Bombyx mori: one gene and its partner. Each later gene encodes a partner of the first gene's protein in a complex. Links are inferred from orthologs where the notes say so. Each region holds a gene or a part of one and is shown on either strand. Other genes may lie near its edges.

Region 1 (5,608 bases):
ATATCTCGAACTATTGACACCGCGCACCCCACGCTTTTATATAAATAATTTATTTTAATTTTTTTTTTGTTGAATTTTCTATAAAAGCGTGTTGTTTAGTCTTTTTTTAAATATTATTTAATATAAATATTTTTTATTTACAAATAAGACTATAAGGATAAATAGGTTAAATAAGAAGTAAAACTATAAAAATTGAAAATCGAATCATACATAAACCTAATAATATTAATAAAAAAAAGCATTATGTGGAAGGCATTGGGGAAGGCCTATGTCCAGCAGTGGGCAGATAAAGGCTGATGATGATGATGATGATGAAGTAAAATTTCGCGATTCGCGCACAAATGCGGATCTCTATCACCATATATTATACAAATATGTTTGAATATTTACCTCGTAATTTATAATCCTTTATCGTGCACGGGTATGCTGAGCTGGTCCATTAAATCGTCAACGCGAGCTTGTAGAGTCTCCACAATATCAGCTGATATGAACAAGTGTGTTTCATCCAGGTCTTGAAGAATAAACTTTCTACCAAGTGCAAGAGTTTCATCCAAGTGTAGTAAGAATTGTTTCATTGCCGGATCACTGAAAATGTCCAAGAAACGAGGTCTTAGTGCTGATGAAAAGAAGACCAGAATGCTTGAAATATTCCATCAAAGTCAAGATTTTTTTCAATTAAAGGTAACCTCATTAAATTACAACTTCATACATAGCTTTCGATGTCACTCTGCCCTAAACGATAAGATGCCAGATGTACTCATATTAAACAGTATTATTATAGCAATGTTTAAACCCAGCGGTTAGGTGCCAATTTTAGTAATGAACTTTGTAATTAAACATGTTTATAAATGACTTTCACAATAAATAATTAATGAAATCTGATAATACTGATGGGTGGCACATACATTGTGATGTCTGTTGACTCCAGTAACCTAATCACATACACCAGGGGTGGGTATTAAGCTCTTCCACTCAACTAAGCAATAAAATATATCTCTTATTTAGGATAAATGAGACAGTGTGAAATAGTGTCTGGAGTTTCTTACTTACTAGCAATGCAAGGTCGTTTTTTAATTAATTGAGAGCAAAGTAATAATAAATGAAGTTTTCACGAATGTTTACTCATCATTTGACTTACTTGGTAGGAGTCCAATTTCTTATTTGTTGGTGATCATGTTAGTTGAGTCACCAAATAGTCAATAATTAGTTCAAAAGAAAATGTTTAGACAGCACATAAAACAGAAGTGGCCATAACAAAATCTATTAAGATAATATTTTATATTTTAACTTTTACAGGAACTAGAAAAAATAGCACCAAAAGAAAAGGGTATTACAATGCAATCAGTTAAAGAAGTGATTCAGAGTCTAATTGATGATCACCTGGTTGATTCTGAAAAAATTGGGACTTCAGTGTACTTTTGGTCTTTCCCAAGGTACTATGTTAAACAACTAACTAAATAACTGGGAACAGAACAGTACATTATCATCTGGCGTCAAATCTGGCCTATTTCTGCCATTAAGCAGTTATTTATTTCGGTTTGAAGGGTGTTAGGTCATCATGCTGTTACAACTGAGACCTTAGAAATCTTGTCTCAAGGCAGGTGGCAGCATTTATGTTGTAATGTCTATGGGCTTCGGTTACCATGTAAAACCAGGTGGACTCATGTAAGCAGTAAAGCTGAATGAATAAATTTTTGCCCAATATGGGAATCGAATCCACAACTTTCGGCAGTCAGGGGTGCCAACTTTTGCACCACCGAGTCAGTCATTGACTAAGACTAGTTTTATTATTTTGAATAATAAAATTTACATGGACTTTACACACTGATGCTATGAGAAATTAAGAGTAAACAATTGTGCTTTTTAAAAATTTATGACTGCAAAATTATTTTTCAAATCAAGCAAGCTGTGGTAATGCCATGCAAACATTAAATAAATTACTTGTAGCAAAGCAAAAAGTACCAAGAAGAGGAAGCTACAAGAACTCCAGAATGAATTTGATGAATGTACGAAGAAGTTAAAGAAAACTGAGGAAGTCCTTATAGCAGAATCGGTCAGAATATTTATAGTTTTTTACTTAGTATAGTATAGTCTATAGAGTTATAATGAAACTTAATTCTATTCTATATTTATCAGAGACTGATATATTTATTAATTGACTTTAATATTAGAAAGGCAGAGAGATATCTGAAGAAAGAATAAAAATATTATCATCTTTAGAAGATCTTCAAAAGCAAGAGGCTTCATATAAGAGAGAATTACAAAAATACAGAGAATCTGATCCTGAATATATTGCACAACTGAGACGTGAAATAACTGTAAATCCAATTCTTATATTAATGTAGATGAGATGATGTCTTAAGGTCTATATTCCATTCAAGCTCATATTAGCGCCCCACTGTGAGCGCAATAGATAAGGCCAATGTCCCAAGTTTAAGGATTTAGTAATTGATGAATCAGTTCATGGCCTTTCTATAGTAGTATAGTATTTAGTGTTTCTGAAGTGTTAAGTAAGTTACTGAAGTTGATAGGTATCACAATGTGACTTCTGCTACCCACTTTAATATTGCACACATTAGATCAGTTACTATTATATTTCATAAAGGCCAAGTGAACTGATCAAACTGGAATGTGTATATTTTTTTTGGCAGATGTAGGCAGAATGACAAAACTGTATGAGCTTACAACTGGTAATGACTTTTAAGTCTAACATGTCTATTTCATGCTAGAAAATATATATTTTATTATTTGGTGGGTAATATTACTCAATATAACTTATCAGTATATTAATTAAGCATTGTATTCATTATTTAAAAATAAGGAAAACAAAGTACATTTAAAAAAATACTATGTTTTGATAAATAGCTTTCTGTAGGTGGTAGTATGTATAACCAAAGACATAACTATAATATTATCAAATAATAATATTGGATTAAAAATGTTTCATTTTGTAGGAATTGAAAACAGCCAGCAACAGATGGACAGAAAATGTATATATATTGAAATCTTATATAAAAAATAGTTTTCAAATAGATATTGATGCACTAGAAGAAAATTTTAACATACCTAAAGATATGGATTACATTGAATGAAGTTTTATATACAAGGCATTCCTCATAACCTAGGCCCAGAACATTAAATTTAAGTATGGGAAAAACCAAAGAAGAAATTCTTTGGCAAGTTAATATATTGTACGTAGTAAATTGATTAACTGATGTAATTTAAAATTCAAATCATTAAAGCACATTGTAACGATTCTAACTTTATCTGTAAGTTTGCATATGTAAAAGTAATATTTGTGAGAAATAAAAATAATAAATACCATTCAACGAGGACACCTTTCATTACATTCACCATGGTTCATTGTTTTAGAACTTGTCACTTTATGTAATAATTAATTGTAAATAAAGTATGTAGGTACCTATTTACTCCCTACTTTCAGTAGATACCATAGGTTATACAGAATACTATTACTATTATAAACTATTATTCATAGACTATACACTTAATATCTATTATTTATGGGTAAGTGTGGAAGGCTCATTACACTTTGCTAAATTTAGTCGGTGTAATAGCATTCAGTAAGTTAACCTGCTAAATTCAGTAGCAAGGATGGTTTCTGACTGACTAAATCATTTAGAAGCCTAATTAGAAACGCATATAAGAAGGTGTAATCGCATTTAGTTACTTAATGATTTCAGTCGTCCCATAGCTCTCCGTGCGTAAGGACGGCTTAGTTTGTTTTTTACTTCCGAATAAAAAGTATTTATTTCGCTCACCTTTATTAAATGTGCCAAACATTTATAAATAGCCCAACTTGTTTCAGGGATAATTTTTGTCAGAAGGGGTTGGGATATTATAAAGAACTAAAAATTAAATCTTGATACGAATTTCCTGTTGCAAGAAATCTTAATGTTACAACCAATCTTTCTTTTGGACTTATACTATCGTAGGATTAGATATGTAATAGTTATATAATATAGATATATAATAGACTATAGTAGTATCGTAGGATAGTATCCTGCTTTTGAAAAAAATTGTGCCACAAGGCTTAATATTTGGTCAAACGACCTCGAATCCATTCGTAGATCATTTCTGAAGTCTGCTGGTTCTAAATCATTCTTTTTTTTTTTTTTTTTTTTTTTTTTTTTTCCTGCCTAAGCTGAGAGCCTTGAGAGGCTATATCAGCGTAACCCTAACTTTTGTAGGTGAGCTCACGGGGCTCAAACCTGACGATGTTGCTAACACGAACCCTAGCAAGAGCCGTGCTTCGCAGAATCTACCACCGGATCGGAAACGCGACCCACTGAGAAGATCCGGCGAGAAACTCAGTGGGCTGTGTCTAAGAGTTAATTTACTCGTCGAGCCCTTCGTCGCAAGCGACGGGTTCGACGAGAACGGTGACCGGTGCTTGAAGTACCTAAAAGCACCGTTAGTGGATCGGGAGGATCCGAGATGACGTGTTTTGGGCGACGTCGACTGCTTTCCATTCTGTCCGCAGGATCGGGAATGTAGTTACCGGCGGCCACGATGAGAGGGTTCTCGTGTCGTGCCGCTTTATCGAAGTGGCGCATTGACGCCGACTGCATATACTTACTGGTGGACTCGAAGTCCAGGTCGTCATGGAGGTCGACGTTCCTGACGAACCACGGGGCTCCGACGGCTATCCTGCAAAAACGGGATTGAATGACTTGGAATGATTTCAAGTGTATGCGGGCCGCGTGAGCGAACACTACACTTGCATAGGTCATGACGGGGCGTATGCAAGTTTTGTAGAGTGTCACCTTATTTCTAAGGGACATTTTACTTCTCCTACATATCATCGGATAGATAAATCACTCATAATGTTCATATTTGCTAACTTTCCGCGCAGCAATATATATTTCTTCGCCCATACTCTTCATTTTTTTTTTTTTTCAATTGAGCCGACAGCGAGGTCTGCGCCTAGACCAATTTTTTGTTGTTTAGATAATACTGGGGCCATTCACACACACACGACACGTCCTACTTCGTCGCGTTTATACTGACAATTGATTCAGTAACTGAAGTTAAGAACAGTGTAATCAGAAGCTTCCAACTTGCTTCTAAATTTGCTTTTGAATTCAGTCGACTAAATTTAGCCAAGTGTAATAAGCCTTTAAGGCGTAAGTGTAAGCTTTTTTTTTAAGGGATTTTATGACCTGGTAACTAAGACCTTTAAGTCATGTCTTATTTTAATATAAATGCTTATTTGAGTCGACTATTATCAAAGCCGGCAATCTGACTTTTGGACAATTATTGGTAAATCAGAAAAACGAATTATTGACTTTGTATTCCATTGGCAGTCACAAAACTCTTCGGAACGACATCTTAGATAAATAACAGGTTAACTATTAACCTTTATTTAATGCAGGTTTTGAACCGTATTCTTTGAAGGAGACGATTATATTCAACTCAATCTGTATTGACATATCAATAACATTTTTTTGTCCAAATGCACAGATTGCCACCTTTGATAATAGACGACTCATTTGATGAAAAATTATAATATGGAGTGAAATGAAGATGATTAATTTAAGACATTAATCAACTGGGATGAAATTAAATGAAAAAAATGTGTGCGTGTACT
Region 2 (5,725 bases), on another chromosome or scaffold:
ACGACGAGACCACGCCTCCAGCACGGACTGCCGAGATTGGAGCCCCCGCGCTCCGGCTGCACTTGCGCTAGGGCGCGCCGCCTCGTAGGAGACTGTGAGGTATCCTCGAATAACTCTGACTGCGATCGCGCGCTGCCGGCGTCGCAGCGCGGCGACGTTCTCGTGGGTACGGACGTGGCACTAGACGGGTGCTCTATGGAGTGCCATCGACCGCACGGGTACCATCACCCTGCCTATTTCTGCCGTGAAGCAGTGGTGTATTTCGGTTTGAAGGGTGGGGCAGCGGTTGTAACTATACTGAGACCTTAGAACTTCTATCTCAAGGTGTGTGGTGCGTTTGCGCTGTGGATGTCTAAGGGTTCCAGTAGCCACTTAACACAAGGTGGGCTGTGAGCTCGTCCACACATTAAATCGAAGAGCGTAATCAAACGAAATTAGATACGAAGTTTAAAAGGCCGTTTAAAGTAGTTGAAGTATTGGATGGTGACCGTTACACATTGAAAGCTTTAAATTCAAAACTTACTTACAAATACCCACATGATAGGCTAAGAAAATTGCCAGCATGACACATACCAGTCGAAGTTGATGTAAATGATGATGATGAAGAGCAAGCTTAAATTGTGGTGAAAACTCGAGTAAGGAGTTTCTTGGTATTTTTTTGTATTTCACATCTTTTTGTAGAGAATGAAAGTTATTGAAGTCTTATTTTTTTTGTAAAGTGCAAATGTTATTGAGATGAGTTTTATAAACGTGGACTTGGCGCAATTTTTTACAGTGAAACTGTTTTTGTTCGGATTTCATATCTTTTAGTTAAGTATTATTTTTTGCTCATTTATTACTTAACAAAAATAGACAATAGAATAAAAATATATTACTAGTATATAGTCACTCAGCTTAAAAGCTAATGAAACGCTCAATTAATTAGTGTAATAATAATCAACATCAACTTTTACAAATTTAAACCGAATTAAATTCTGTTTCAAATGTGAACGGTGGATGACGCTGTTCTTAATTATTTCAGATTTTAAAATTGAAATCTGAAAGCTTTGAAACGTCAATCTGCATAAATGTAATTCAAAAACTACAGTAAGAGGCTTAAATAAAAAGCTAAATTTAACTCAGCCTTAATTAAAATTTTTTTCGGAATTTAGTAGTAAAGTTCAAGTTATTTTGATGAAATCAAAACTGAAATATTCATAACATCTTAAACAATCACCTACGAATAAATATTATTTATTATATTATCTATTCAGTAGACAATCACAACGGTTTTATAGTTTTGGGAAGGGATTTTTTGTAACGCCATCTCGTGAAGTATTTCGGTATTACATTAATATAAAATAATTAATAATTGGGAATTTAATTATTTTTATGATCGAACAATCACCAATAGTCATCGAACAAACGATAATTGATCAAAATGAATTAAAATGAATTAATCGATAAAAATAAAGATATCTAGTAAGAGGGGCCCACTTAACGGTGATCATTTATTTAATTAATTATAAATAAACAAAAGACGAACAAACAATTTTTACATTCGAGCATTAACGAACAAACGACGAACAAATAATTAAAAATAAAAAAAATCCGAAAATAAAAAAAGGGGGCCAAATTTACAGAGCCATAACCTACTAACTTAAATATTAAGTGTATGATCTATACCTACGGCACACTGAATTTGGCCCCTCTTTTTTTGATTTTCAAATTTTTTTATTTTTAATTATTTGTCCGTTGTTTGTTCGTTAATGTTCATATGTAAAAAATCTTTGTTCGTCTTTTATTTATTTATAATTAATTAAACAAATGATCACATTAAGTTGGCTCCTTTTACTAGATATCTTTATTTTTATCACTCAGATTAATTAATTTTGATCAATTATCGTTTGTTTGACGACTATTGGTGATTGTTCGATCATAAAAACAATTGAATTCTCAATTATTAATTATTTTATATCTAATAAGCAAACCATCACCTCACGCCAACAAATATAAAAAAATCCAAAATAAAAAAGGGGGCTAAATTCACTGAGCCATTAAGCACATAATATTTGCATGTGTTTAATCTATGATATTTGCTACCATAGATAATAGAGCCTAGGAAAGGCGACGACGACGCATTTGCTTTAATATTTTCCAATTGAAAATACAGAAAGGCCATTAATAGCCTACAGTATATTTTTTAAATACAACACTCGCTTTAGCGAAGATGTATGATACAGAAGATGATCAATACGAAGAGGAAGATGTGGAAATAACACCTGAGCTTTGGCAAGAAGCTTGTTGGATTGTCATCAACGCTTATTTCGATGAAAAAGGTCTAGTGAGACAGCAATTAGATAGCTTCGATGAATTTATTCAAATGTCGGTACAACGTATAGTTGAAGATTCTCCACCCATAGAATTACAAGCAGAAGCACAACATTTCTCTGGTGAGATGGAAACACCACCAAAATATCGTCTTAAATTTGACCAAATTTATTTATCTAAACCTACTCATTGGGAGAAAGATGGAGCTCCATCTCCCATGATGCCCAATGAAGCACGTCTTCGTAATTTAACATATTCGGCACCTTTATATGTTGATATTACAAAAACAATAGAGAAAGAACATGAGGATCCTATTGAAACGCAACATCAGAAAACATTTATTGGCAAGATTCCTATTATGCTTAGATCTACATATTGCTTACTAAACAGTTTGACTGACCGTGACTTGTCAGAATTGAATGAATGCCCCTTAGATCCTGGTGGTTACTTCATTATTAATGGATCAGAAAAAGTACTAATTGCACAGGAAAAAATGGCTACCAATACTGTCTATGTATTCAGCATGAAGGATGGCAAATATGCTTACAAAACAGAAATAAGATCATGTCTGGAACATAGTTCTAGACCGACATCTACATTATGGGTTAATATGATGGCTCGAGGAGGACAAAATATAAAGAAATCTGCTATTGGTCAAAGAATTATGGCAATTGTCCCATATATCAAACAAGACATACCTATAATGATTGTATTCAGAGCTTTAGGTTTTGTTGCTGATAGAGATATATTGGAACACATTATATATGATTTTGATGATCCAGAAATGATGGAAATGGTTAAGCCATCTCTTGATGAGGCTTTTGTCATTCAAGAACAAAATGTAGCACTCAATTTTATTGGAAGCCGAGGAGCACGCCCAGGTGTCACCAAAGAAAGACGTATTAAATATGCTAGAGAAATCTTACAAAAGGAAATGTTGCCACATGTTGGAGTATCAGATTTTTGTGAAACAAAAAAAGCTTATTTTCTAGGCTACATGGTACACAGATTATTATTAGCTGCTTTGGGTCGAAGAGAACTGGATGATAGAGATCATTATGGCAACAAAAGATTAGATTTAGCAGGACCACTTTTGGCTTTTCTATTTAGAGGCTTATTCAAAAATTTACTAAAAGAAGTCCGAATGTATGCTCAAAAATTTATTGATAGAGGAAAAGATTTCAACTTGGAACTTGCTATCAAAACAAAAATCATCACTGATGGTCTTCGTTATTCTTTGGCAACTGGTAATTGGGGTGACCAAAAGAAAGCTCATCAGGCCCGAGCTGGAGTATCTCAAGTGTTGAACAGATTAACTTTTGCATCTACTTTATCCCATTTAAGACGTGTCAATTCTCCAATTGGACGTGATGGTAAACTTGCTAAACCACGTCAATTGCACAATACTTTATGGGGTATGATTTGTCCTGCTGAAACTCCAGAGGGAGCTGCTGTTGGCTTAGTGAAGAATTTAGCATTAATGGCTTATATCTCAGTAGGAAGTCAACCTTCACCAATTTTGGAGTTCTTGGAAGAATGGTCAATGGAAAACTTGGAAGAAATTGCACCATCAGCTATAGCTGATGCCACAAAGATATTTGTGAATGGTTGTTGGGTAGGAATACACAGGGACCCTGAACAGTTGATGGCTACACTACGTAAACTAAGACGTCATATGGACATCATTGTCTCTGAAGTCAGTATGATTAGAGATATAAGAGACAGAGAAATCAGAATCTATACAGATGCAGGTAGAATTTGTAGGCCATTACTTATTGTCAATAATGGTGTCTTATTGTTGAAAAAGAAGCACATAGATGATTTAAAAGAAAAGGACTACAATAACTATGGTTGGCAAAATTTGGTGGCTAGTGGAGTAGTTGAATATATTGATACTTTGGAAGAAGAAACTGTGATGATTGCCATGAGTTTAGATGACTTGAATCAAGTTAAAGAATATGCATATTGTACTACTTATACACATTGTGAGATTCATCCTGCAATGATTCTGGGTGTCTGTGCGTCTATTATTCCATTCCCAGATCATAATCAAAGTCCCAGAAATACTTATCAAAGTGCTATGGGTAAACAAGCTATGGGAGTTTATATCACAAATTTCCATGTTAGAATGGATACACTGGCTCATGTTTTGTATTATCCTCACAAACCCCTGGTTACGACAAGATCTATGGAATACTTACGATTTAGAGAATTGCCAGCAGGAATTAACTCCATTGTTGCTATTCTTTGTTATACCGGATATAACCAAGAAGATAGTGTTATTTTGAATGCATCTGCTGTAGAGAGAGGATTCTTTAGATCCGTATTTTACCGTTCATACAAAGATTCTGAATCTAAAAGAAATGGAGAACAAGAAGAACAGTTTGAAAAACCAACCAGACAGACATGTCAGGGTATGAGGAATGCTCTGTATGACAAATTAGATGATGATGGTATTATTGCTCCTGGTATTAGAGTATCAGGTGATGATGTTGTCATAGGAAAAACTATAACTTTGCCAGAAAATGATGATGAGTTGGAAGGTACAACAAAACGATTTACAAAGCGAGATGCATCCACTTTCTTACGTAATAGTGAAACTGGAATTGTTGACCAAGTAATGTTAACATTAAATAGCGAAGGTTATAAATTTTGTAAAATTCGAGTCAGATCTGTACGCATCCCGCAAATTGGAGATAAGTTTGCTTCACGACATGGTCAAAAAGGAACATGTGGAATTCAATACAGGCAAGAAGATATGCCATTTACTTGCGAAGGTATAACACCAGATATCATTATTAATCCTCACGCTATCCCTTCACGTATGACAATTGGTCACTTGATTGAGTGTATTCAAGGGAAAGTATCTTCTAATAAGGGAGAGATCGGTGATGCAACCCCATTCAATGATGCTGTAAATGTGCAAAAAATATCATCTCTGTTACAAGATTATGGTTACCATCTACGTGGTAATGAAGTCATGTACAATGGGCATACAGGCCGTAAAATTAATGCGCAAGTTTTTTTGGGACCAACTTACTACCAACGTTTAAAGCACATGGTCGATGATAAAATTCATTCTAGAGCTAGAGGTCCAGTACAAATTCTAGTGAGACAGCCTATGGAAGGTAGGGCAAGAGATGGTGGATTACGTTTTGGTGAAATGGAACGTGATTGTCAGATTGCACACGGAGCTGCCCAATTTTTACGTGAACGTTTATTTGAAGTATCAGATCCTTACCGTATACACGTGTGTAATTTCTGCGGCCTGATCGCTATAGCTAATTTGCGTAACAATACATTTGAATGCAAAGGCTGCAAAAACAAAACTCAAATTTCGCAAATCCGTTTACCATATGCAGCCAAGTTACTATTCCAGGAACTAATGTCGATGAATATCGCTCCTAGACTAATG

The links. Proteins that work in one complex are often made in the same cells at the same time.
Region 2: general transcription factor IIH subunit 5 (region 1) and DNA-directed RNA polymerase II subunit RPB2 share a complex: the UniProt entries of both Homo sapiens proteins name them as parts of the TBP-based Pol II pre-initiation complex. The link is inferred for Bombyx mori from reciprocal best matches to the Homo sapiens genes GTF2H5 and POLR2B.

Annotation. Positions count from the first base shown.
Region 1 is NC_085109.1:11,978,739-11,984,346, reverse strand, and holds the start of general transcription factor IIH subunit 5, read right to left. Parts: upstream 3,485-5,608; 5' UTR 3,358-3,484; coding exon 3,323-3,357; exon of another isoform or gene 3,093-3,322; coding exon of another isoform or gene 2,955-3,092; intron 2,319-2,954; coding exon of another isoform or gene 2,172-2,318; intron 2,054-2,171; coding exon of another isoform or gene 1,948-2,053; intron 1,434-1,947; coding exon of another isoform or gene 1,297-1,433; intron 682-1,296; coding exon of another isoform or gene 592-681; exon of another isoform or gene 586-591; coding exon 399-585; 3' UTR 391-398; intron 1-390. Other genes in the region: meiotic nuclear division protein 1 homolog, read left to right, coding at 592-681, 1,297-1,433, 1,948-2,053, 2,172-2,318, 2,955-3,092. UniProt on the Homo sapiens protein: Component of the general transcription and DNA repair factor IIH (TFIIH) core complex, which is involved in general and transcription-coupled nucleotide excision repair (NER) of damaged DNA and, when complexed to CAK, in RNA transcription by RNA polymerase II.
Region 2 is NC_085110.1:13,229,214-13,234,938, forward strand, and holds the start of DNA-directed RNA polymerase II subunit RPB2, read left to right. Parts: upstream 1-2,069; 5' UTR 2,070-2,209; coding exon 2,210-5,725. UniProt on the Homo sapiens protein: Catalytic core component of RNA polymerase II (Pol II), a DNA-dependent RNA polymerase which synthesizes mRNA precursors and many functional non-coding RNAs using the four ribonucleoside triphosphates as substrates.